Linked DNA regions of Macaca mulatta. The protein of the gene in region 4 binds, or shares a complex with, the protein of the main gene of each other region. Links are inferred from orthologs where the notes say so. Each region holds a gene or a part of one and is shown on either strand. Other genes may lie near its edges.

Region 1 (3,969 bases), on a different chromosome or scaffold from region 4:
CTGTGCCGAGACAGGCCTCACGGGTTATGGGGACAGCGCCTTGTGGGTCCCCATTATATAGGTGGAAAGGGACAAACAGGCCCACCTGTACGCGCCTCCCGAAGTGCGCTCCTTCCCTAAACGTTTTGGGAGCTCCTGGGACAGGAAATACGGCAATTCGTCCAGGCAGCGCAGAAACAAAGAGATAAATATGGTAACGCGCACCTACATTTCCAAGGACATTCTTTAAGCACGCATAAATTAAATATGTAATAGGTGCTGGGACCTAGTCATACCCAGGTGAATAAAACGCCCTCCCCCTCGTATCTCTATGAGGGAAGAGAAGAAAATTTTAAAATAGAAATATCCTCACCACTTCATCCTCCCAGTACATGAACTAGTTCGTTAAAGTGAAACGTTCGAAGGAGACACCTTCCTCTCTTTAGGCTTTCCTCTTAGTTTTGGTAAGATTAACCAAAATGATAGAAAAGTGTCAGACTTGTAGAAACAAACCTCAATCTTGAATACTTGCGAACTGAAAAAAAATCATTTAATTGGATAGAAACTATGTGTGTTTTGTTCCCTGGTACTAGCACTGTTTCTAAATCGAAGTACGCAGTCAATAGTTGTGGATGAATAAATGAATTGGATAAATTCTGCTCAAGCTAGATGACTTTTTGTTGTTAAGGTGCTTGCTGAATGGAGCGGAAATGCTAGCAATTCCACGTACACACAGACCCGCGGTTTCGGGCCAGTTGAAATACACAAGGTTGAGTCTTGCCTGAAAGTTTACCAATCCCGGGTAGCCTCATTCCACGACACCGCCATACAACGGAACTGAGTTTTCTCCCGATCCCCCAACTTTACTCTGAGGGGTTAACGAAGGGATTAACTGGTATTGAATTTTTAGACAGGCGAAAAGGAAAAAGTTATTTAGTAAACAAAACTGCGCTCCTTCACAAGTGCTGGTTTCCTAGCTAGGAGGATCCATAGTCTGAGCTCTTTACGTCCAATTTTCCCGCTTCCCACTGTCGCCAAACCAAAGTTAAAATGAGTCCTCTAGTCCTCTACGCGCGCCTCAAAATGACCCCTCAGGAGAGCGGTAGGGGTGATGTCATCGCTGCGCGACGACAGGAAGTAAGATACTGTCCTGTGCAGCTCGGGGTTCCGAGCTTCTGCCTCAGACATCGCCGCGATCTCCTCTCCCCTCCAATCCTATCCGTGATGGACGATGCCCGCGAGTCGCCCTCCGACAAAGGTGGAGAGACAGGGGAGTCGGATGAGACGGCCGCTGCGTCCGGGGACCCGGGGGCTACCGACACGGATGGAATCCCAGAGGAAACTGACGGAGACGCAGATGCGGACTTGAAAGAAGCTGCAGCGGAGGAAGGCGAGGTAGGAAGAGATGTATCGATGAGGCTGAAGGAATACCCAGAGATCGTGTTACTGGGTGCTTGCCGGGCTTCTGGTTAGTCCCTCCCAAGTTACGAGAACTCGAACTCACCAGAACTCCCTCCAGATCGTTAATCTTGAGGGGGAAGAGAGCGGACGACCAAACAGAACTCCAGTGCTGGTTCCGTTCCAGAGGCTCAAGCACTGCGTTAATATTTTTAGTCTTGTCAAGGGATTAAAGCTACTTCTAAGGGAGTTTTAATAGCCTATTGGCTTTAGTGGTGAGGAAACTGGGATCCAGTGTCACACTGAGACGCAGTGCAAGAGCTAAAACCCAGGATTCGTAGCACCCCTTTCACCGCAATATGGTTCGTCTTAGATGTTAAGACAACTTTGTTTCTTTATAGGAAGGAGGGTCGATCAAACCTGTCAAAGGGAGATAGACTTTTATAAAAGTGTCGCCCGGGCTGTAGTACAATGGCGCGATCTCTGGCTCACTGCAACCTCCGCCTCCCGGGTTCACGCGATTCTCTTGCTTCAGCCTCCCAAGTAGCTGGGATTACAGGCTCACACCACCATGCCCGGCTATTTTTTGTATTTTTATTAGAGACGGGGTTTTACCATGTTGGCCAGGCTGGTCTCGAACCCCTGACCTCGTGATCCGTCCGCCTCGGCCTCCCAAAGTGCTGGGATTACAGGCGTGAGCCACAGCACCCGGTGATCAGGGACCCATCAGTTGGGTCTGGTGTTTTTATGCTACAGAGAGTTCAGCAGTGTTGCCTAGCTGAACATTGGTCAGGACCAGAAACTCATCGTTCTCTGGATTACATTTCTGGAAGTAGAATCTTGGGGTCTTAGAGCTAGAAGGGATTTAAGAGATCGTGGGGTGAACAGTAGATTAGATGGAAATAGCCTTTCAGTGTATAAAGTTGCATAAAAATGTATAAAGTAAGAACTTTTAGAAAAAGAGAAAATTTGGCCGGGTGCAGTGGCTCACGCCTGTAATCTTTGGGAGGCGGAGGTGGGTGGATCGCCTGAGGTCAGGAGATCCCCAATATGGGGAAACCCTGTCTCTACTAAAAATACAAAAATTAGCTGGGCATGGTGGCAGGCGCCTGTAATCCCGGCTACTTAGGAGGCTGAGGCACAAGAATCGCTTGAACCTGGGAGGCAGAGGTTGCAGTGAGCCGAGATCGCACCACTGCACACCAGCTTGGGTGCCAGAGTGAAACTCCGTCTCGAAAAAAAGAAAAAGAGAACATTTGACAAAAGTATTTTAAGGCAGGTTTCTTTTTTTGTTTTTGTTTTTGTTTTTGAGACTGAGTACTCGCTCTGTCACCCAGGCTGGAATGTGCAGTGGCGCGATCTCGGCTCACTGCAAGCTCCTTTAAGGCAGTTTTTGTTGGTTTGTTGAGACAAGGTCTCACTCTGTCACCCAGCCTGGAGTGCAGTGGCACAGTCTCTGCCTCCTGGGCTCAAGCAACCCTCTTATCTCAGCGTCCGCAGTAACTGGGATTGCAAGCATACTGCACCACGCTCAGCTGAAGTTTTTGTATTGTTTTGTTTTGTTTTGTTTCGTTTTTGAGACGGAGTCTCGTTCTGTTGCCCAGGCTGGAGTGCAATGGCGCAATCTCGGCCTACTGCAACCTCCGCCTCCCAGGCTCAAGTGATTCTCCTGCCTCAGCCTCCCCAGTAACTGGGATTACAGGCACGTGCCACTGTGCCCAGCTAATTTTTGTATTTTTAGTAGAGCCAAGGTTTCACCAAGTTGCCCAGGCTGGTCTTGAACTCCTGACCTCATGATCCATCTGCCTCAGCCTCCCAAAGTTCTGGGATTATAGGCATGAGCCACCGCACCTGGCCAGCTAAAGGTTTTTTAAATATTGTTTTGGTAGAGACAAGGTCTCATTATATTGCCCAGTCTGGTCTCCAACTCACTGGGCTGAAGTAATCCTTCCGCCTCAGCCTCCCAAAGTGCTAAGATTACAGGTGGGAGCCACCATGCCTGGCCAAGAAGGAAACTTTAAAACAGGTGTCAAGGACAGCAAGGATTTGAATAATTAGCTTGGTACACTAGAGAGCTCACTACATATATAAATTTGCACCGAACAGAGGATAAAATTATGTTGTTTCTGAAACACTTTTAAAAATCAATCATGTACTAGACCATGAAGAAAAATATGAATTCTTAAAAGATATCATAACAGGCCACATCTTGTTAATGCAATGCATTAAACTTGAAATTAACTACAAAAAGCTTCTCCCCCACCAAAAAAGAACCCCCTGGAAATTTTAAACTACTTTTTAAATAGCCTTTAGACTAAAGAAATTAACAGAACACTTTATCAAATGATATGGGATTTGGCCAAAGCTTTATTTAAAGAAAAATGTATAGCCTTACATATTTTTATTAACAACCAGAAGATACTGCAAATAAGCACCTGACTCAAGAGACCAGATAAAGGGCCTAGTGGAGTGGGTCACACCTACAGACCTAGCTACCTGGCAGGCTGACACAGGAGGATCGCTTGAGGCTGCAGTGAGCTATGATCCAGCCTGGGCAACAGAGTGAGTCTGGGGAAAAAACAAACAAACAAA
Region 2 (3,179 bases), on a different chromosome or scaffold from region 4:
AAACATCAATATTTCTGGACCATTTTAGATCTTAGTCTTATAGACAAAGAATCAGATGATGTCTTAGAAAGAATCATGGATGAGAAAACAGCAAGTGAGTTGAAGATTTTGTATGGTCACAGTGGGCCTGTCTATGGAGCCAGCTTCAGTCCGGATAGGTAAAATACAAACAATAAAAATTAAATACTGCTATGTTATATTGAAATTATATAAAAGTCAACTACTGGAAACATTATGCAAATACTGGGAAAATTCTGATAAAAATCTCATGGTTGTCGTTCATTATCTTTTAGAATCTTGCCGTTTGCTGATTCATCTTTGAATCCTGATGTTTGTACACGGTAGCAATTTAATGTATACTCTTTTTTTTTTTTTTTTTTTTTTTTTTTAAGACGGAGTTTCACTCTTGTTGCCCAGGTTGGAGTGCAATGGAGTGATCTCGGCTCACCGCAACCTCTGCCTCCTGGGTTCAAGTGGTTCTCCTGGCTCAGCCTCCCAAGTAGCTGGGATTACAGACCTGCGCCACCACACCTGGCTAATTTTGTATTTTTAGTAGAGACGGGTTTTCTCCATGTTGGTCAGGCTGGTGTTGAACTCTCAACCTCAGGTGATCTGCCCACCTTGGTCTCCCAAAAGTGCTGGGACTACAGGCGTGAGCCACTGCGCCCGGCCTGTATACTCAAATTTATAGAATCAAAATGCACAGTTTCAGAGCTTACTGGTTTTAAAAATTAGCTTTAGTATTTTCTTCTTTTCTTTTTTTTTTTTAAATTATTTTTATTTGTTACCCAATGGTAAATAACCAACCAAAGCTTTAGTTTTATAGAACTCCATTAGGGGTTGAAATGCTTCATTGGGTCCCTGCATTGTGTCTTCTGGCTGCTTCATCAAATTTAAGACAAATTCCTGACATTAATGGCATATTAGCTAGTAATTGAGGATTTATCTTTCTATAATCAAAAGTACTAAGAGTAAATGAAAAAGGAAATTCGAAATTAGTTTTGTTTCCCTTTAGGTGTATGATTACAATGTCATCCTATGTGTATAGGTATTTGCCTATTTTTCATGATCTCTAACACTGTAAAAATGGGGGGAGGGTGTTTTGTATTCATAATACCCTTAGTATATTACTTGGATAGATAAAAGCTTTCAGGCCAGGGACAGTGGCTCATGCCTGTAATCCCAGTACTTTGGGAGGCCAAGACTGGCGCATCACCTGAGATCAGGAGTTCGAGACCGGCCAACGTGGGAAATCCCGTCTCCACTAAAAGTACAAAAATTAGCAGGGCATGATGGTGCCCGCCTGTAATCCTGGCTACTTGGGAGGCTGAGGCAGGAAAATCATTTGAACCTGGGAGGCGGAGGTTGCAACGAGCCGAAATCGCACCACTGCACTCCAGCCTGGGCAAGAAGAGCTAAACTCCATCTCAAAAAAAGAAGAAAAAAAGATAATAGCCTTCCATTCATCAAGATTTCATCATTATGAAACTTTGAGAATTAGGTTTTTTGTTGTTTGATAAGGTTTTGCCAGATGATACATTTTTACTTGAGGAAACGTCTGATTTCAGTGAAAACTGTAATACCTTCTGACTACCAATCCGTTGTGTTTATCCTTGAAAAAGGTAGAGAATTATTAGCATGTCTATAGTGTTTTTTTTTTTTCTTCAAAAGACATTTCCTTTTTAATTCTTAAATAGCATACACAGCATAGGAAAATAGCATCTTTATTTTAGGGTCAAAACTTGTTGAGTTTTAAGTGACATATCACATTTCCTAAACTTTCTCAATTGACCTTACTTGACTATACTTTGTTAATTACCCCAGTACTTTTTTCTTGTAAAGAACTGATTTTCCGTAAGTTTCTGTATCATCTTACCTCATTCAGTAGGTGCTCGGTATATGTAGAGTGTCAGAGCTAACATTAGTTTGGTTAGTTCTTTCAGTTGATACCTACTGTGAATTGCATGAATGAATTAAAAGTGAGATGTAGCATGTTAGCTATATTTAATATATTCAAATGTATGTAAAATATTCAAGTGTATATAAAATATTTAATGTATTCAAATGTATATAAAACTGGACAGGTGACCAAAGGTTACTCTGGGAGTCAAATATATTACCTTCTCTTCTCTCAGGAACTATCTGCTTTCCTCTTCAGAGGATGGAACTGTTAGATTGTGGAGCCTTCAAACATTTACTTGTTTGGTGGGATATAAAGGACACAACTATCCAGTATGGGACACACAATTTTCTCCATATGGATATTATTTCGTGTCAGGGGGCCATGACCGAGTAGCTCGGTAAGAACACTGTGATCTTATGACTGGGTGTATTCAATGAATAGAATGGTTTCTTGTTGGGAATTACAGCAGCCAGCCAAATTCATTTACACTTCCATTGTTGAGGATCAACTTTCTGAGAAGCTTTTGCATTTATAACTTATTTGAAATTGGGGCCGGGCGCAATGGCTCACGCCTGTAATCCCAGCACTTTGGGAGGCCGAGGTGGGCGGATCACCTGAGGTCAAGAGTTCGAGACCAGCCTGGTCAACGTGGTGAAACCGCTTCTCTACTAAAAATACAAAAATTAGCTGGGCGTGGTGGTAGTCGCCTGTAATCCCAGATATTCAGGAGGCTGAGACAGGAGAATTGTTTGAACCCAAGAGGCGGAGGTTGCAGTGAGCTGAGGTCGCACCATTACACTCTGGCCTAGGGGCAAGAGCGAGACTTCGTCTCAAAAAAAAAAAAAAAAAAGAAATTGGGGCAGGAGTATTATTATATCTGCAATTACATCTATATGAATCCTGGTTTTTAAAAAATAGTTAATTAACAGTCCTCCCTTCCACCCCCATCAGATGCTTAACCTTGTCTTCCATACCACTGTGAGCACCTTTATGTTTCTCTGTCATCTTCTTAGAAGTTGAGGATAAGGTAGTTCAGGTTAGAAACTATTTGGCCAGGTGCAATGGCTCACGCCTGTAATCCCAGCACTTTGGGAGGCCAGGAGTTCCAGACCAGCCTGGCCAACATGACGAAACCCCGTCTCTACTGAAAAAAAAAGAAAAAATACAAAAATTAGCCGGGTGTGGTGGCACATGTCTGTAGTCTCAGCTACTCAGGAGGCTGAGGCAGAATTGCTTGAACCCAGGAGGTGGAGGTTGCAGTGAGCCGAGATTGCAC
Region 3 (4,035 bases), on a different chromosome or scaffold from region 4:
GAAATTAAATGTTAATGGCCTTGATGCTCTACCAGATATTTTAAAAATAAATGGAAATAAATAGAAATAAGTACCAACTGTTACCCAGTTATGTCAAAATACTAAAAATATGTGTTGATGAATACCTGACCCTCCAAAGAAAAGACAAGCACAAAACAGCAAAATAGTAGAGGTGGAGTTAAAAAAAAAGTCAAAGTATTTAAAATTACTTGTACATGAGAAGCAGGAAACAATACTTCAATTATGTCTACTTTAACCAGATGCTCAGTCTATCAGACAATTCTGTCCAAAATGAACCTGTGCTTGCAGAAGAACACTTCCTTCTCTGCTTACATTTACATCTAAATCAAGCATATAAAAAGGAATCACCCTTGTTTCCTCAGGAGTATTACAGAACAGAAGGAAACCCAGAGGCACAATTCCCCTACAGGGAATTATATTAAACAAAATATAGACTTTGGGCCAGGCACGGTGGCTCACACCTATAATCCCAGTACTTTGGGAGGCCAAGACAGGCAAATCACCTCAGGTCAGGAGTTGGAGACCAGCCTGGCCAACATGGTGAAACCCCTTCTCTACTAAAAATACCAAACTTAGCTGGGGTAGTGGAAGGTGCCTGTAATCCCAGCTACTCAAGAGGCTGAGGCAGGAGAATCGCTTGAACCCTGGAGGTGCAGATTGCAGTGAGCCAATATTGTGCCACTACACTCAAGCCTGGGTGACAGCCTAGACTCCATTTCCAAAACAAACAAACAAACAAACAAAGAGAGGTTTAGAATTATATAGTGAGCTCCATGTCCTCCTCACTCCACTGATTTGGGTTCTTTAAAATCCATTGTATAGTAGCTACACATTCTTGTATTGGCACCAGATTGGCTAGACCCTAGGAAGCATCCGAGATGTTTCCAGAAGCAAAGACGCTTACTGCCAGGCGTCCCCCATCTCCCGGAATCACCCGGAAGTCTAGAAGCCATCCGGCCCCACAGCGATCCCTTAAAAGTGCTGGCTTAGCGGGGGACGAATCCGTGTCTTTCTTGTAACTTCCAAGCGCTAAATAGTTTGAAACCAACAGCTCTTCGAAAACACTATCATTTTCATCCCAGAAAAGCAAGTTCTCGCGAAAAGACGAGTTTCACGCTGGGCAGCGTAATTGCGCTATTGCGCCTGCGCGCGCCGGGGCTCCGCCCTTCCGGCCGGAGGGGCTGTCACTCACATCCACCTCCCGCCCCGCGTCGTGACGTAGCACTTCCGTTTTCTCTGGGCAAGCGGTCGAACGGAGGGCCGGCGAGGTGCCGGGTCTGGTTCTCCGAGCTGCGCCTCTCGGCAAGATTTCGCGTTGCCCATCCTGGGCTTTCATCAGTAATCGATAGTGGATCACTCTGCCAAGCGGCAGGAAGAATTAAGGAAACGACAAGGAGACGCTTGGCTGCCTCCCGCTTTGCTCCTTGCGGCCTCCTCTTCCCTTCGCTCCGGCCCGGTGAAACTGAACTTATAATCGTCACTGGATTGTAAGTACCCGAGGCGAAGAGAGCTCACTGAGCCCTGATGTTTTGAGTGTCTGTTCCGGGAGAGTTTGTAAATTGAGAGTATCTCTGCTGGCCTTTCTGGGCCGAAAACCGTTCCGCGGGAGCCGCCATTTGCTTTCCTGCTTCTTAGCTAGGTAGCTGTCTCCGCGTTGTCGGGCAGCGGCACCTAGAGGTTGGGACTTGGCATTGCATCTGATTTAATGAACTTAAGTCTGTGAATAAGCCTTTGTGTTAACGACTGGTATTTGGTCACAGCATATTTAGAGAAAAGACTTGGAGCTTAAATAAAAACGAAGGCAAAATAGACGCTAAGCTGCTGATCTACAGAGAACTTCTTGTAATTAAAATATTTCAATTCATAGCGAACTGGTGTTTTAAACTATTGCAGTAGCTGGAACTTTTTACGGTAACCATCATTTATTGGAGAAGTGAGTCACAAAGAAATAAAAATGAGTAAAAGCAAAGATGATGCTCCTCACGAACTGGAGAGCCAGTTTATCTTACGTCTGCCTCCAGAATATGCCTCTACTGTGAGAAGAGCAGTACAGTCTGGTCATGTCAACCTCAAGGACAGACTGACAATTGAGTTACATCCTGATGGGCGTCATGGAATCGTCAGAGTGGACCGTGTTCCATTGGCCTCAAAATTGGTAGACCTGCCCTGTGTTATGGAAAGCTTGAAAACCATTGATAAGAAAACCTTTTACAAGACAGCTGATATCTGTCAGATGCTTGTATCCACAGTTGATGGTGATCTCTATCCACCTGTGGAGGAGCCAGTTGCTAGCACTGATCCTAAAGCAAGCAAGAAAAAGGATAAGGACAAAGAGAAAAAGTTTATCTGGAACCACGGAATTACTCTGCCTCTGAAGAATGTCAGGAAGAGAAGGTTCCGGAAGACAGCAAAGAAGAAATATATTGAATCTCCAGATGTGGAAAAAGAAGTGAAACGATTGCTGAGTACAGATGCTGAAGCTGTTAGTACTCGGTGGGAAATAATTGCTGAAGATGAAACAAAGGAGGCAGAAAATCAAGGCCTGGATATCTCTTCTCCAGGAATGTCTGGTCACAGGCAGGGCCATGACTCATTAGAACATGATGAGCTTCGGGAGATATTCAATGACCTCAGCAGCAGCAGTGAGGATGAAGATGAGACCCAGCATCAAGATGAAGAAGATATAAACATCATTGACACTGAGGAAGATCTGGAGAGACAACTACAGGACAAGCTAAATGAATCAGATGAACAGCACCAGGAAAATGAGGGAACCAATCAGCTGGTTATGGGAATTCAGAAGCAGATTGACAACATGAAAGGCAAGCTCCAAGAGACCCAGGACAGGGCAAAACGACAAGAGGATCTCATCATGAAAGTGGAAAATCTGGCTCTCAAGAACAGATTTCAGGCTGTACTGGATGAGCTCAAACAAAAGGAAGACCGAGAAAAGGAGCAACTCAGCTCTTTGCAAGAAGAGCTAGAATCACTCCTAGAGAAGTAAAAAGAACTGATTCTTAATTTCAGTGTTCAGACTGATCAGCATTAGAAAATTCTTGGCTTTATTACTTGTACTGGATATTAACACCTTGCACTTCCTAGTCCCTCTAATGCTGTGTGTTCTGTTAAGTTCTTTCATTTGTTTATAGTTTTGTTTTTCAGCAAATTTACATTGTTTTGCTAGGTGTTCATCCTATAAGAAGCAGGATTGTATAGGCAGAAAAATGATAGTAGGAAAGTTGCAGGATTAGTGGAATGTATGGTTCAACCTTAATTATAGCTCCACTGCAGGACTTTGCTGTTTCTCCATTTTCTAGAAGCTGCTGTTGCTGCCTTATGATGACATGAGATCAATAAGAAGAACCTAGTCTAGAGACAGTGATGCTAGTTTGCATATGTTTTCCCATGCAATAGCTGTTTTCCCAGTTACTCAAAGCAGTTTCCCATATGTAGAGATGCAAATTTTATTAAGTTGTTTACAATACAATAAATAAAAGCATCTGTTTTTCACTTTGTAGTGTATCTTGTTCTTTCATGGTTGGTGGGAGTCAGGTCCCTTTTGAGGTGGTTTCGTGGTGGAGTTTAGTGACTAAGAAATTTGATCCAGTTCTGCAGGTAGAGGCAGTTTGGTTTATGAAAAAAAGCAACACAGCAGGGGTAAAGAAATTGGGAATTGTCATGTTTGCATCATATTAAGATTCCAGTTCTATCTGATCTACTTGAAAGCTGGGAAACATTAGATACAGAGCTTTCTTAAACTACCCTAATTTTTGTAGATGAAGGCCTTTGTGCCTTTTTTAAAAAGCTTACTAAATCTACCTGCACAAAATGTTGGAAACAAAGCAGTGGTTATCAAGTGCAGTCCAATGAATCATTCCATTGGTTTGGATTAAGATTTTATTTCTATTTTTCTTCAGTTGAGTTCTTATAATTAATAATCTGAGAACTGAGGTCATTTATCAATGTCATTTCATCAAAATTGCTCATAAAGTAAGTCGGTACCAAATTTCTCAT
Region 4 (3,208 bases):
TATACAGTTATCCTGTCCCAGGGGCCAGTGGCTTCTCTCTACATGACAGACTCAAATTGTGAGGCTCAGTTTTTTCTTGTATTCACAGGTGGCATTGGAAGGCCTTCGGCCTACCATCCCACCAGGTATTTCCCCTCATGTGTGTAAGCTCATGAAGATCTGCATGAACGAAGACCCTGCAAAGCGACCCAAATTTGACATGATTGTGCCTATCCTGGAGAAGATGCAGGACAAGTAGGACCGGAAGGCCCTTGCCTGAACTCCAGAGGTGTCAGGACATGGTTGGGGGAATGTACCTCCCCAAAGCAGCAGACCTCTGGTTGCCTCCCCTGCCTCCAGTCATGGTACTACCCCAGCCATGGGGTCCATCCCCTTCCCCCATCCCTACCACTGTGGCCCCAAAAGGGGCGGGCTCAGAGCTTTGTCACTTGCCACATGGTGTCTCCCAACATGGGAGGGATCAGCCCCGCCTGTCACAATAAAGTTTATTATGAAAACAGGCTGGTGTGGGGACATGGGGACAGACAAGTACATTTAGGTTGGGTGGCTCAGGTGAAGTAGTGCGGCTTCTTCACATTGATGCCATACTCGCTGAGGGCAGGGGTCAAGTCCTCCATGGTTAAAGTATACTTGCGGTCCTGAGGGAAGAGGGAAGAGCACCAACTGAGCACAGGAATCCCACACTTCAATCCCAGATGGGTGACCCTGAGTAAGTTTTACACCTCCCCTAGGATTCAGTTTCCCCAAAGGGGTGGCAGGATAAGCTTCCACTGTTGTGGAAGGTAATTAGTGATTCAATGAGCCTCCCCTCACACCTTGCTCTTGCTCCGGGAGCTGCCGGAGGCTGTGCCCTTCATTTTGCAGTGCTGTAGGGCATCATTGGCAATATCTGAGATGAATTTCTGGGCAGCTAGGGAGATGAGCCGAATTCTAGAGAGAAAAAACTTAGATGAGAAGGAGATGGACAACACACTGCACAAGCACCCAAAACTAACCTGCCCTGGGTTTACTCACATGCGTGGGTCTGAGGCCTCAAAGCCAGCACGGTTCAGGTAGTAACCAGTCACTGCATCTGGGATCTAAGAAATCAATTAAGAGAACTGTCAGCAGAGTGGGATGAGGGTGAGGGAAATGTCGGATAGACCTGGTTATCAGGAAGCTCACGATTTGGGTGAGCAGAGGGCAAAAACAAGAGCGACTACGGAAGCAAACATCAGAGGGTGCTGAAAAGCACGGAGATGTGGCTGAAAGTTGTGACAGCAGGCTAGGTGGCCTTGTTCGGGCGGAAGCCCACCGTAGGCGTGTAATCCTCCAGCTGCATCAAGAAGTCCACCAACGGCGTGCTGGACACCACCGGCTTCACGTCTCCGTTGGCCGCGCTCGGCAGTACGTAAATCCCGTTAGACATGGCCCCTTCTGGGGGCGCCGCGCCACCCGCCGACACCGGAGCTGGAGGAGAACCAGCAAAATGAGACACAGAGGTGGGAGGCGCAGGGCCCCAGCGAGGTCTGTCTATACCCGCTGCCCTCACCCGCCGCTGGGCCCAGTCCCAGACGCTTCCCTCGCCCTCACCCGTCAGGCCCTCACCCGCCCCACGCCGCTCAGCTGGCTCCCCGGCCCGCGCCGCCAAGGGTCCCGTGCCCCCAGCAGCTGCTCCAGCCCCAGGCCCCCCTGCTGTCCCCGCGGGGCTGGCCTTGTTCTCCGCAGCGGTGCTGGCGGGCAGCGCTGCGGGAGCCGAGACCGGGGGTGCCGGGCCCGGGGCCGAGGCGGCGGAAGCCGGCGCCGCCTCGGGGTCCGCGCCGGAGCCGCTGCAGCTCATCGGGCCGGTGGGAGAGGCGGCGAACAGAGCCGCTTCCGCTTCCGCTCGCGCCGCGCACACCCCGGGGTGACGTCACGCGCCCTCGACTCGCCCCGCCTGTCACTGTTAGTGCTCTCCAGCCCGCTCCCCGCCTCCTCTGGTAGTGGGTCTGCGGGTTAGAGGAAATAGGCTGAAGGGCGGAGACCAAGCCTTGGCGAACTGCGCTGCCGTCGCCATTCCGCCCTAGCCTCTGCGGTGCTCGGTGGCGATTCCGTCGAGACTAGAAGCAGCGTGCGTCCGGGACTCTTCCGCCGCTCTGGGACACCTCATTCTGTCTGACGCTCAAGACCTTGCTTCGAGGTTTATGGGCCCTACATCCCTCGACTACGGATTGCCTGCCTGTCTGCATCCTTTCAAGTTCCCTTATTCAGCCTTGTAAGGATTCATAGTGGATTTGGAAAGCCCCCCGCCCTTCTCCACCAACTGCCCCGAGAGGTGGGGGCAGCAGTGGGGCGGCCCACAGTGCTGCTGTAGAAGGAGGAGGGGTTTCAGCCTAAGTCGACAACGTATGCAAAAATCACAACGAGTGAAAGGCGTGAGATTTTCAATGTAGCAGATATTTAATTCTTATTTGCCAACTCCTGAGCTAGGACCTGGGAATACAAAGTTAAATAGAACACGATTCTAGTCCTTTAGGCACCAACGGTCTTGGAAAGGAAGCCAGACAAGTAAAGTGGCTATTTCAATACTATGTGGTCGTTACAATACTAGAGGTAGACACAGGGGTCGCAGTGCAAGGGAGGAAGGGCATTAACATCTGCCACCTACTTCCAGGTGCCAAGTACTCTTATCAACATTATTCCACTTTATTCCCTGGTGATTAGGAAAGGCAGGTAATATTCCCACTTAACAGACGAGGAAACAGCCTCAGGGAGATAAACTTGCTTGACCCAGTCTCTCTCCCAGTCCATATCAGAACCAAGATTCAAACAGGTTTTGTTTAGAAAATCTAGGATTTTTCAGCCATAGCAAAATGAAGTAGCCTCAGGGAATCAAAACATTCACGAGAGAAGGTGACTTCTGAGCTGAATCTTGTAAGAATTCTGGAAATTAACCAGGCAGTTTGTATCAGGGGTGGTATTAAGGGGACAGAACAGCTTGAGCAAGAGTGAGAGTTCCTTGGGGTTTGGGGAGGGAGGAGGAAAAATGATTTGTTACTTAGGAACAAATAGCAACGAAGGTTTGTGAGCTATGATTGGGGGAAGAAAATAAAAAGCCTGAACTCTATCCAGTAATCCTTGAAGGGTTTTCATCCAAGTGGCCTGATGGGATTTGCATTTTACTCTGGAAGATGATTTGGGGATTGGCCGGAAGTAAGGACGCTGTACTTTTCAAGAGAATGTAGCCCTA
Region 5 (3,500 bases), on a different chromosome or scaffold from region 4:
GCACCGTCTCGCCCTCACCCTTGGTTGGTCTCGCCCCTTCCCTTGATTGGTGCTGACACTTGGCATTAGAATATCTTGATTTCCGACCCTCAGCAGCCCTTAAATTGCGCACCTGGAATGAGCGTCTCCCCTTCACCCCAGTCCTCTCTTTTGGCAGCTGAACTATTTTGAAGGTAGAAGCATCAAACACAGTGTGGAATTTATAGACGGTGTCACTGGGTCGCACAGCCTGTTAGGGTGGTGCGTGTGAGAGCCCTGCCCTCACCCTGCAGACTGTCACTCGCCCCGCCTGAGTTCTCTTTTGGGAGGCCCGGCCTCAGGTGAGGATCAGTTTGTAATGAGCTAGTGTGGAGCGTGCGGAGGCTTCAGTAGCAGAGGCACCTGGGGCAGGTCTGAAGAAGGGCCCTCACAGTGCAGGGCGTCTGAGGGAGACAGGTGCCCTCTTCTGTTTGAATCTCACAGGAAGAAAGAAAATGTAGTGGGTCGGAGTCACACTTGCACGCCATCACACAGGCAGCCATGCTCCCAGCCTGAACTGAAAGTGGCAGAGCGGGGACGGGAGGAAGGACGGGATGAGGGGTGCCACATCAGGGCAGCCCGGGCGTTGCCTGTGGCTGTTCACGGCAGGGCTCCCAGTGGCGTGCAGAGCAGAATCAGCTACTTCCAGCGTCTTAACTTTGGTTGAGAATGTGCCATAAAGATGCCATTGTAATCTTTGTACTTAAATATACGTGAGCAGCTTTCCCCATCAGAGCAGACCTTAGTTTTCATGCCAGATGGGGAAACCACAGCCGTTGGGAGTTGTGTGGCTTGTGCCCCCCGGGCGGTGCTGTGTGTGTGTGTGTGGTGTGTGCCCCGCTGGGCGGTGCCGTGTGTGTGTGTGTGTGTGTGTGTGTGTGTGTGTGTGTGTGTGTGGCTCGTACCCCCCTGGGCGGTGCCGTGTTTGTGTGTGTGTGTGTGTGTGTGTGGCTCGTGCCTCCCTGGGCGGTGCCGTGTGTGTGTGTGGCGCGTGCCCCGCTGGGCGGTGTCGTGTGTGTGTGGCTCGTGCCCCCCGGGCGGTGCCGTGTGTGCGTGTGTGTGTGTGTGTGTGTGGCTTGTGCCCCCCTGGGCGGTGCCGTGTGTGTGTGGCTTGTGCCCCGCTGGGCGGTGTCGTGTGTGTGTGTGGCTTGTGCCCCCCGGGCGGTGCCGTGTGTGTGTGTGGTGTGTGCCTCGCTGGGTGGTGTCGTGTGTGTGTGTGGCGTGTGCCCTGCTGGGCGGTGTCGTGTGTGTGTGTGGCGCGTGCCCCGCTGGGCGGTGTCGTGTGTGTGTGTGTGTGGCGCGTGCCCCGCTGGGCGGTGTCGTGTGTGTGTGTGGCGCATGCCCCGCTGGACGGTGTCGTGTGTGTGTGTGGTGTGTGCCTCGCTGGGCGGTGTCGTGTGTGTGTGTGTGGCGCGTGCCCCGCTGGGCGGTGTCTGTGTGTGTGGCGCGTGCCCCGCTGGACGGTGTCGTGTGTGTGGCGCGTGCCCCGCTAGGCAGTGTTGTGTGTGTGTGTGTGGTGCGTGCCCCGCTGGGCGGTGTCGTGTGTGTGTGTGGCGCGTGCCCCGCTGGGCGGTGTCGTGTGTGTGTGGCGTGGCCCCGCTAGGTGGTGTCGTGCAGGTGTCATCAGCTGAAACCACCAGAGCTCTCCACAAGAGCTGGCACCCAGCAGCTATGCTTCTCCAAGCAGGAACACATCTGAGGCAGCTCGGGAGGCACCTGGTCACCTAGAGGGGCTGATGGAGGCAGGGTCTGTGCAGCAGGGCCCAGCCAGAGGCCCAGGGATCACTGTGGGAGCCACTGAGCAACTCAGCCTTCGCAGCTGACCTAGCATGCCCAGTCCCAGCCGACCCCAGCCCTTCCAGTGCGGGAATTCAGCAGCCAAGCAGGATGACACACAGGGACCCCGTGTGGCTTTTGTACCCCAGCTGAGTCCACATGCAGTCCAGCTGTGGTTGCATGGAGGGTGGCCCTGGGGCCGCTCAGACATTTGCCTTGGGTGGGTGCCACCCCCTGGTCCATCCTCAGCCCCAGGAGCAGGTCTGAGCACTGTGGGGCATTGGGCAGTGTCTGAGTGTGCCCTGTCCTGAAGGCGCAGCATGAGGCCTCCTGCCCTTGCCCCTGCCCTGGCAGGGCCCTGGGACAGCACCTCAGCTCCAGCTGTGGGCCTACCGGAGGGAGCCCATGCCAGGCCTGGCCTCCTCTGGAATCGGGGTACTTGGTTCAGACACACAGGCCCCCATTTCAAGCCCCACTCTGGGCCCCACTAACACCCTGTCTTCTCCGTTTTTGTCACCAGGGGTCGGGCCCCGGCTCGGTGGTCCCAGGCAGCTCGGGGGTCGGAGCCCCCAGACAGTTCACGCGACAAAGAATCACGCGGGTCAACCTCAGGGACCTCATATTTTGTTTAGAAAATGAACGTGAGACAAGCCATTCACTGCTGCTCTACAAAGCATTCCTTAAGTGACACAGGAGGACGCCTGGGGACTTTTTATATATTTGCAGATTACGCCTTTTTGTAACAAGCAAATGGGATATTGTTTAAAAAACAGCCACCTCTTTACGATGGAACAGTTTTATATTTTCCTGTTTCTAAATCAACTCTTCAGTGTGAAAGAAAATACGTGTCTGTAACAGAGAGAACACAAAGGCCTGTGGATACTCTTAAAGGACAATTAAATCTTAACTCATCTTGATTGAGTGGCCTTCTTGCCAAACAAGCCATATATAAAGACTGATGGAATCGTTAGCAAATAATTAGCTGCCCTCTGTCAACTCATAGCAGTTTCTGCATTATTTGTGCATTTTGGTTTAGTTCTACCTAACTTACTGTGTAGGTGTATGTCTACAGCCGATGACCTCATTTTATTTTATTTTTGTAATAGTCAGTTAGCAAAGCAAACTGATTTTTTAGACTATTTATCTTCCTTCCCCTCCCCTCTCCCCCTACCCTCCTCTCCCCCTCACCCTCCTCTCTCCCTCATCCTCCTCTCTCCCCACCCTCCTCTCTCCCCACCCTCCTCTCTTCCCCGCTCCCCTCCCCTCTCCTCCCTCCCCTCTTCTCCCCTTCCCTCTTCTCCCCCTTCCCTCTTCTCCCCCTTCCCTCTTCTCCCCCTTCCCTCTTCTCCCCCTTCCCTCTTCTCCCCCTTCCCTCTTCTCCCCTCCCCTCTCCCCCTCCCCTCTTCTCCCCTTCCCTCTTCTCCCCCTTCCCTCTTCTCCCCTCCCCTCTCCCCGTCTCCCCTCTTCCCCCCCCCACCTCCCCTCTCCCCCAGCCCTCCCCTCTCCCCCCAGCCCTCCCCTCGTCTCCCTTCCGCTCTGCTGAGAATCCTGGAGGAATATACAATTCATCGTAGCACCCCCACCTCAGAGTGTAATCGAATTTCTGCTTGGTAGAGGCGGGGCCCAGCAAAGGTGGGCTCCTTCTGAATGTGTGGTCAGCATCTGTACAAATGCATTTTATTTGCTATAGTTTGTAAAGCTGTAAA
Region 6 (4,129 bases), on a different chromosome or scaffold from region 4:
TGGCTCTGTCGCCCAGGCTGGAGTGCAGTGGCCGGATCTCAGCTCACTGCAAGCTCCGCCTCCCGGGTTTACGCCATTCTCCTGCCTCAGCCTCCGGAGTAGCTGGGACCACAGGCGCCCGCCACCTCGCCCGGCTAGTTTTTTGTATTTTTTAGTAGAGACGGGGTTTCACCGTGTTAGCCAGGATGGTCTCGATCTCCTGACCTTGTGATCCGCCCGTCTCGGCCTCCCAAAGTGCTGGGATTACAGGCTTGAGCAACCGCGCCCGGCCGAGTCTTCAGTTTTAAGTGGGGTGCTCGGAGTAGGCATTACCGAGAAGGGGATATGTGAGCAGGGGCTTGAACTGGGTGAGGGAGTGAGCCATGCGGATATCTGGGGAAGAGTACTCTGGCAGAGGGAATGGGCAGTGCAAAGGCCCTGTGGAATAGTGAGTGGCTTGTGGATTGGGTAGGGCCTTGCAGGCTGTTTTAAGAACTGACTTTTAACTAAGTGAGATGGGAGTTGTGGGAGGGTGTGGAGCAGAGGAGGGACATTTCTGAGCTTCTTAAAGCATCACTCTGATGGCTCGGTGAGAACGGACTGGAGAGATCAGTCAGGAAGCTGTTGCTATAGCCTAGGTGAGAGGCAGTGGTGGGCCCAAGCAGAGTGGTTGCCACAGAGGTGGTGGAAGTGGTCAGTACCTGCCTGAATTTTGAAGGTAAGTCCAAAAGGCTGTGCTAACAGATTGGGGGTAGGATGTCAGAGAAAGAAAAGAAGTGTGCCAGATGTGGTGGTTCATGCCTGTAGTCCTAGTCACTCGGGAAGCTGAGGCAGGAAGATTGAGCCCAGAAATTTGAGTCCAGTTTTGGGCAACGTAGTGAGACCCTATTTAAAAATAAAAGAAAGAAAACAAGCAAGAATGACCACAGAGTTTGTGACTTGAGCCATTAGAAGGATGGAGTTGCCATCACCTGTGATGGGAGGGACTAAAAAGCGCCGTTTACTCACAGGGGAAGGTCCCCAATTCAGACTTAGGTGCCTGAAGTCCAAGCTGCCTGTCTGACACCCCAGTGGAAATGCTGAGTGAGCTGCTGGCTGCATGAGTCTGGAAGTCGGCAGAGGTGAGGGCTGGCAGTGTACTCCAGGGAACAGTTGGCATGGAGATGGCACGGAGAGCTGGGAGACCGGATGCAATCACCACAGAGGGTTTAGGGCTTGCTAGAGCTCAGAGGCAATTCAGGGAGCGCCTGATAGACCATTCTGCTCTCACCTTTTTAACAAATCTCTGGGTCAGTTTGACACTTTGCTTTTTTGTTTTTTTTGAGATGGAGTCCCGCTGTGTTGTCTAGGCTGGAATGCAGTGGCACGATCTCGGCTCTGCAACCTCCAACTCCCGGGTTCAAGAGACTATCTTGCCTCAGCCTCCCGAGTAGCTAGGATTATAGGCACCTACCACCATACCCAGCTAAATTTTTTTGTATTTTTAGTAGAGGCGGGGTTTCACCATGTTGGCCAGGCTGGTCTCGAACTCCTGACCTCAGGTGATCCACCCGCCTCGGCCTCCCAAAGTGTTGGATTACAGGCATGAGCCACCCCGCCTGGCCTACTTTTTTTACTGACTCCCCCACCCCTAACCGTCTCAATGCTGTGTATCGCTGAAGGGGACATTTCTGTGAGGTCTGCTTGGGAGAAGGAAGCCTGTCATCCTGCGCTCATGAGCCATGGTGAGCCGAAGGGAGGGAGCCTCTGGACCCACCAGCAGTGTCTTGAAGCTGTCATTTTCAGCACCTCTAACAGTGTCACCTCTATCTGTATCTCAGAAAACACTGAAGGCACGGTTGAAATGAACTTCCATTAACTTTGAAGATAGGCTGTCTACTGTAGAGAAATGATAGGGTGGACAGAGTGGGGAGATACTACTCTGTTGCGCCATTAGGAACTTCAGAAAGGTTGGATGCCAAATACCCGAGGGAGTTCTGGTTATGGGCAGACCTTTTTTTCCGGCACCTGGTCTGGCCTGAACTAGGTTGGTCCTGCAGCACTTGCTTTCAAGAGTTTCCAGAAGGCCCCAGTGGCTCTAGGTCACCTTGTGGTCCCACTGGATTGGGTGCTGGAGAGGGAAAGTACATAGGCCCTGATACTGGGCCAATGGAACTGGGTCTTTGAAGAGAACAATTGATAGGACAGAGAGAGGGCATGTGCCGCAGGGAAACCTAGACGTGATCTGGTTTCTTCCGGCTCATTAAACCTGAGACTGGTGTCCATGCCCTAGGCCAGCTGTCCTGTCGGGGGAACCTGCTGTTGATTTCATGCCGTCTGGTCACGGCGCCCTCTGTTTTGACAGCAGCCTCTCCTGCTTGAGGTCAGTGAGGGCCTCTTTGGCCTCAAGTTGCAGAACAGGAAGAGGAAGCTCAGTGACTTCTTCCCCGTGGAAGAACTTCTTCCCTGTGGAAGAACTTCTTCCCCTTGGCCCATCACCAGGGGGCGCACCCCACCAAACATGGAAAACAGAGGAGCCTGTGAATAAAGAAAGGAGAACTGACTGATCATACTCCCAGAACAGTTTTTAAAATGTCAGCATATTACCTTTTTTTCTGTGTCTATACACAACTGTGACTTTTTAAGAATTTTGATCATACTGATTACATGTGAACTTACAAACTTTTCTGAAAAACCACATTTTTCTCAAAAAATGAACAGTAAAAAACCCTGCCTCAGAGTTCAAGACCAGCCCAGCCAACTGGTAAAACCCCGTCTCTACTAAAAACACAAAAATTAGCCGGGTGTCATGGCACATGCCTGCAATCCCAGCTACTTGGGAGGCTGAGGCAGGAGAATTGCTTGAATCCGGGAGACGGAGGCTGCAGTGAGCTGAGATTGCACCATTGCACTCCAACCTGGGTGACACAGGGAGACTCCGTCTCAAACAAACCCTGCCTCATGGGTTGCAGATAGGCATTACCAATGATGTGCATGTGCTGTACCTGCAGACTCTGCTTCCCTTAGTGGAACCCTCAGGGCTCTAGAGGTTTCTGGCCTATGCTGGGATGTGATCGTTGGGACCATGTTACAAGTACCAGAAATGTGAGAATTTGAGGAGGAAATCTGTTCTGACTTAGGCTAGCTTGGCCAGGAGATACCCTATGCAAATGATGTGTTCTGATCCTGTATCTCCCAGTCCTGCTGGGCATCCTCCCTGGGGCATCTGAGTTTGATTCCTGTCCCTCTCAGGTCTCTGTTCTTTCTAACCCCTGTCCCTGCCTTCTCCAGAGGTTCAAGACTCTCGACTCTGTTGTGTGCTCTTCTAGGTCAAGGCTGTTAGTCTTGCCTTCCCTTCATAGCCAGCCCCTGCCTGGGCCTCACTTCATCAGGGGCAAAGACACGAACATTGGAAAGAAGGTGCTTCCCAGGTTCTAATTTCTCTGTTAGAGGATGCTAATGGTCATTCCAATTATGGGCATGATCTCTTGCCTTATGCTGTTGGTGTTGTGCTTTATTTTGGCTTTTGCTCAAAGGAGGATTCTGGAGCCGAGAAGGAGAACACCTCTGTGTTGCAGCAGAACCCCTCCTTGTCGGGAAGCCGGAATGGGGAGGAGAACATCATCGATAACCCTTATCTGCGGCCCGTGAAGAAGCCCAAGATCCGCAGGAAGAAGTGAGTCGGAGGCTGGGGTCCAGAGAGCCTTCATTGTCCCACCGAGGTGGTCTTCTCAGCTCCTTGGTAGAAAAGAGTCTCCTCAGTGGGGCTGAGCCTTGGGGAGAGCCACTTTGGTGAGGGAATAGTCTCCCTTTTCCTGTCTTACTTGGCTCCCGTACACAGCTCTCGTTCCTTAGTGGTTGAGTGTCCTGCAGTCTAGGGACCAACCCTCACAGCACTGGAGCTGTTTTCCCCTAGAAGGAGAGCAGACAGGGCCCCCACCAGGAGGCTCCATGGTTCCTCTTCTTTCTAGGTCCCTCTCCTGAGCTGAGAAGGAAAACTGGCTTGTACGGGGGCGCAGATTCCACCCTCCCAGGGAGTTAAAGCCACTCAAGGGAAGAAAAGAGGGTGACCTCCTCATGGCCGAGCCAAGGCTGCAGGGTGTGATCGGACATGATTTTCATGGCAAACCGTCTATTAAGATGACCTATTTTCACTGGATGTTTGGGTTGA

What was found.
Region 1: TAF10 (region 4) and TAF11 share a complex: the UniProt entries of both Homo sapiens proteins name them as parts of the TFIID basal transcription factor complex. The link is inferred for Macaca mulatta from reciprocal best matches to the Homo sapiens genes TAF10 and TAF11.
Region 2: TAF10 (region 4) and TAF5 share a complex: the UniProt entries of both Homo sapiens proteins name them as parts of the TFIID basal transcription factor complex. The link is inferred for Macaca mulatta from reciprocal best matches to the Homo sapiens genes TAF10 and TAF5.
Region 3: TAF10 (region 4) and TAF7 share a complex: the UniProt entries of both Homo sapiens proteins name them as parts of the TFIID basal transcription factor complex. The link is inferred for Macaca mulatta from reciprocal best matches to the Homo sapiens genes TAF10 and TAF7.
Region 5: TAF10 (region 4) and TAF4 share a complex: the UniProt entries of both Homo sapiens proteins name them as parts of the TFIID basal transcription factor complex. The link is inferred for Macaca mulatta from reciprocal best matches to the Homo sapiens genes TAF10 and TAF4.
Region 6: the proteins of TAF10 (region 4) and TAF8 are in contact, whole or in part, in a crystal structure (PDB 4WV4), measured with the Homo sapiens proteins. The link is inferred for Macaca mulatta from reciprocal best matches to the Homo sapiens genes TAF10 and TAF8. Residues at the interface, in NP_006275.1 of Homo sapiens: Pro115, Leu116, Phe119, Leu120, Leu123, Tyr126, Thr127, Thr129, Ile130, Pro131, Val134, Thr135, Tyr137, Tyr138, Leu139, Ala142, Gly143, Phe144, Glu145, Ser147, Asp148, Arg150, Ile151, Leu154, Ile155, Leu157, Ala158, Ala159, Gln160, Lys161; in NP_612639.2 of Homo sapiens: Arg33, Thr36, Leu37, Val40, Ser43, Leu44, Leu45, Ala48, Gly49, Phe50, Glu51, Ser52, Ala53, Glu54, Ala56, Ser57, Thr60, Leu61, Met64, Leu65, Gln66, Tyr68, Ile69, Ser70, Ile72, Gly73, Arg74, Ala76, Lys77, Cys80.

Annotation. Positions count from the first base shown.
Region 1 is NC_133409.1:147,388,278-147,392,246, forward strand, and holds the start of TAF11 (transcription initiation factor TFIID subunit 11), read left to right. Parts: upstream 1-1,169; 5' UTR 1,170-1,203; coding exon 1,204-1,374; intron 1,375-3,969. UniProt on the Homo sapiens protein: The TFIID basal transcription factor complex plays a major role in the initiation of RNA polymerase II (Pol II)-dependent transcription.
Region 2 is NC_133414.1:115,532,789-115,535,967, forward strand, and holds part of TAF5 (transcription initiation factor TFIID subunit 5), read left to right. Parts: intron 1-28; coding exon 29-158; intron 159-2,135; coding exon 2,136-2,300; intron 2,301-3,179. UniProt on the Homo sapiens protein: The TFIID basal transcription factor complex plays a major role in the initiation of RNA polymerase II (Pol II)-dependent transcription.
Region 3 is NC_133411.1:150,152,934-150,156,968, reverse strand, and holds TAF7 (transcription initiation factor TFIID subunit 7), read left to right. Parts: upstream 1-1,243; 5' UTR 1,244-1,975; coding exon 1,976-3,025; 3' UTR 3,026-3,535; downstream 3,536-4,035. UniProt on the Homo sapiens protein: The TFIID basal transcription factor complex plays a major role in the initiation of RNA polymerase II (Pol II)-dependent transcription.
Region 4 is NC_133419.1:59,170,777-59,173,984, reverse strand, and holds TAF10 (transcription initiation factor TFIID subunit 10), read right to left. Parts: upstream 1,832-3,208; 5' UTR 1,820-1,831; coding exon 1,588-1,819; coding exon of another isoform or gene 1,573-1,587; intron 1,450-1,572; coding exon 1,295-1,449; intron 1,080-1,294; coding exon 1,015-1,079; intron 931-1,014; coding exon 816-930; intron 639-815; coding exon 549-638; 3' UTR 501-548; downstream 1-500. Other genes in the region: scaffold protein ILK, read left to right, coding at 89-238. UniProt on the Homo sapiens protein: The TFIID basal transcription factor complex plays a major role in the initiation of RNA polymerase II (Pol II)-dependent transcription.
Region 5 is NC_133415.1:114,771,960-114,775,459, reverse strand, and holds part of TAF4 (transcription initiation factor TFIID subunit 4), read left to right. Parts: intron 1-2,314; coding exon 2,315-2,482; 3' UTR 2,483-3,500. UniProt on the Homo sapiens protein: The TFIID basal transcription factor complex plays a major role in the initiation of RNA polymerase II (Pol II)-dependent transcription.
Region 6 is NC_133409.1:140,083,374-140,087,502, reverse strand, and holds the end of TAF8 (transcription initiation factor TFIID subunit 8), read left to right. Parts: intron 1-3,494; coding exon 3,495-3,609; downstream 3,610-4,129. UniProt on the Homo sapiens protein: The TFIID basal transcription factor complex plays a major role in the initiation of RNA polymerase II (Pol II)-dependent transcription.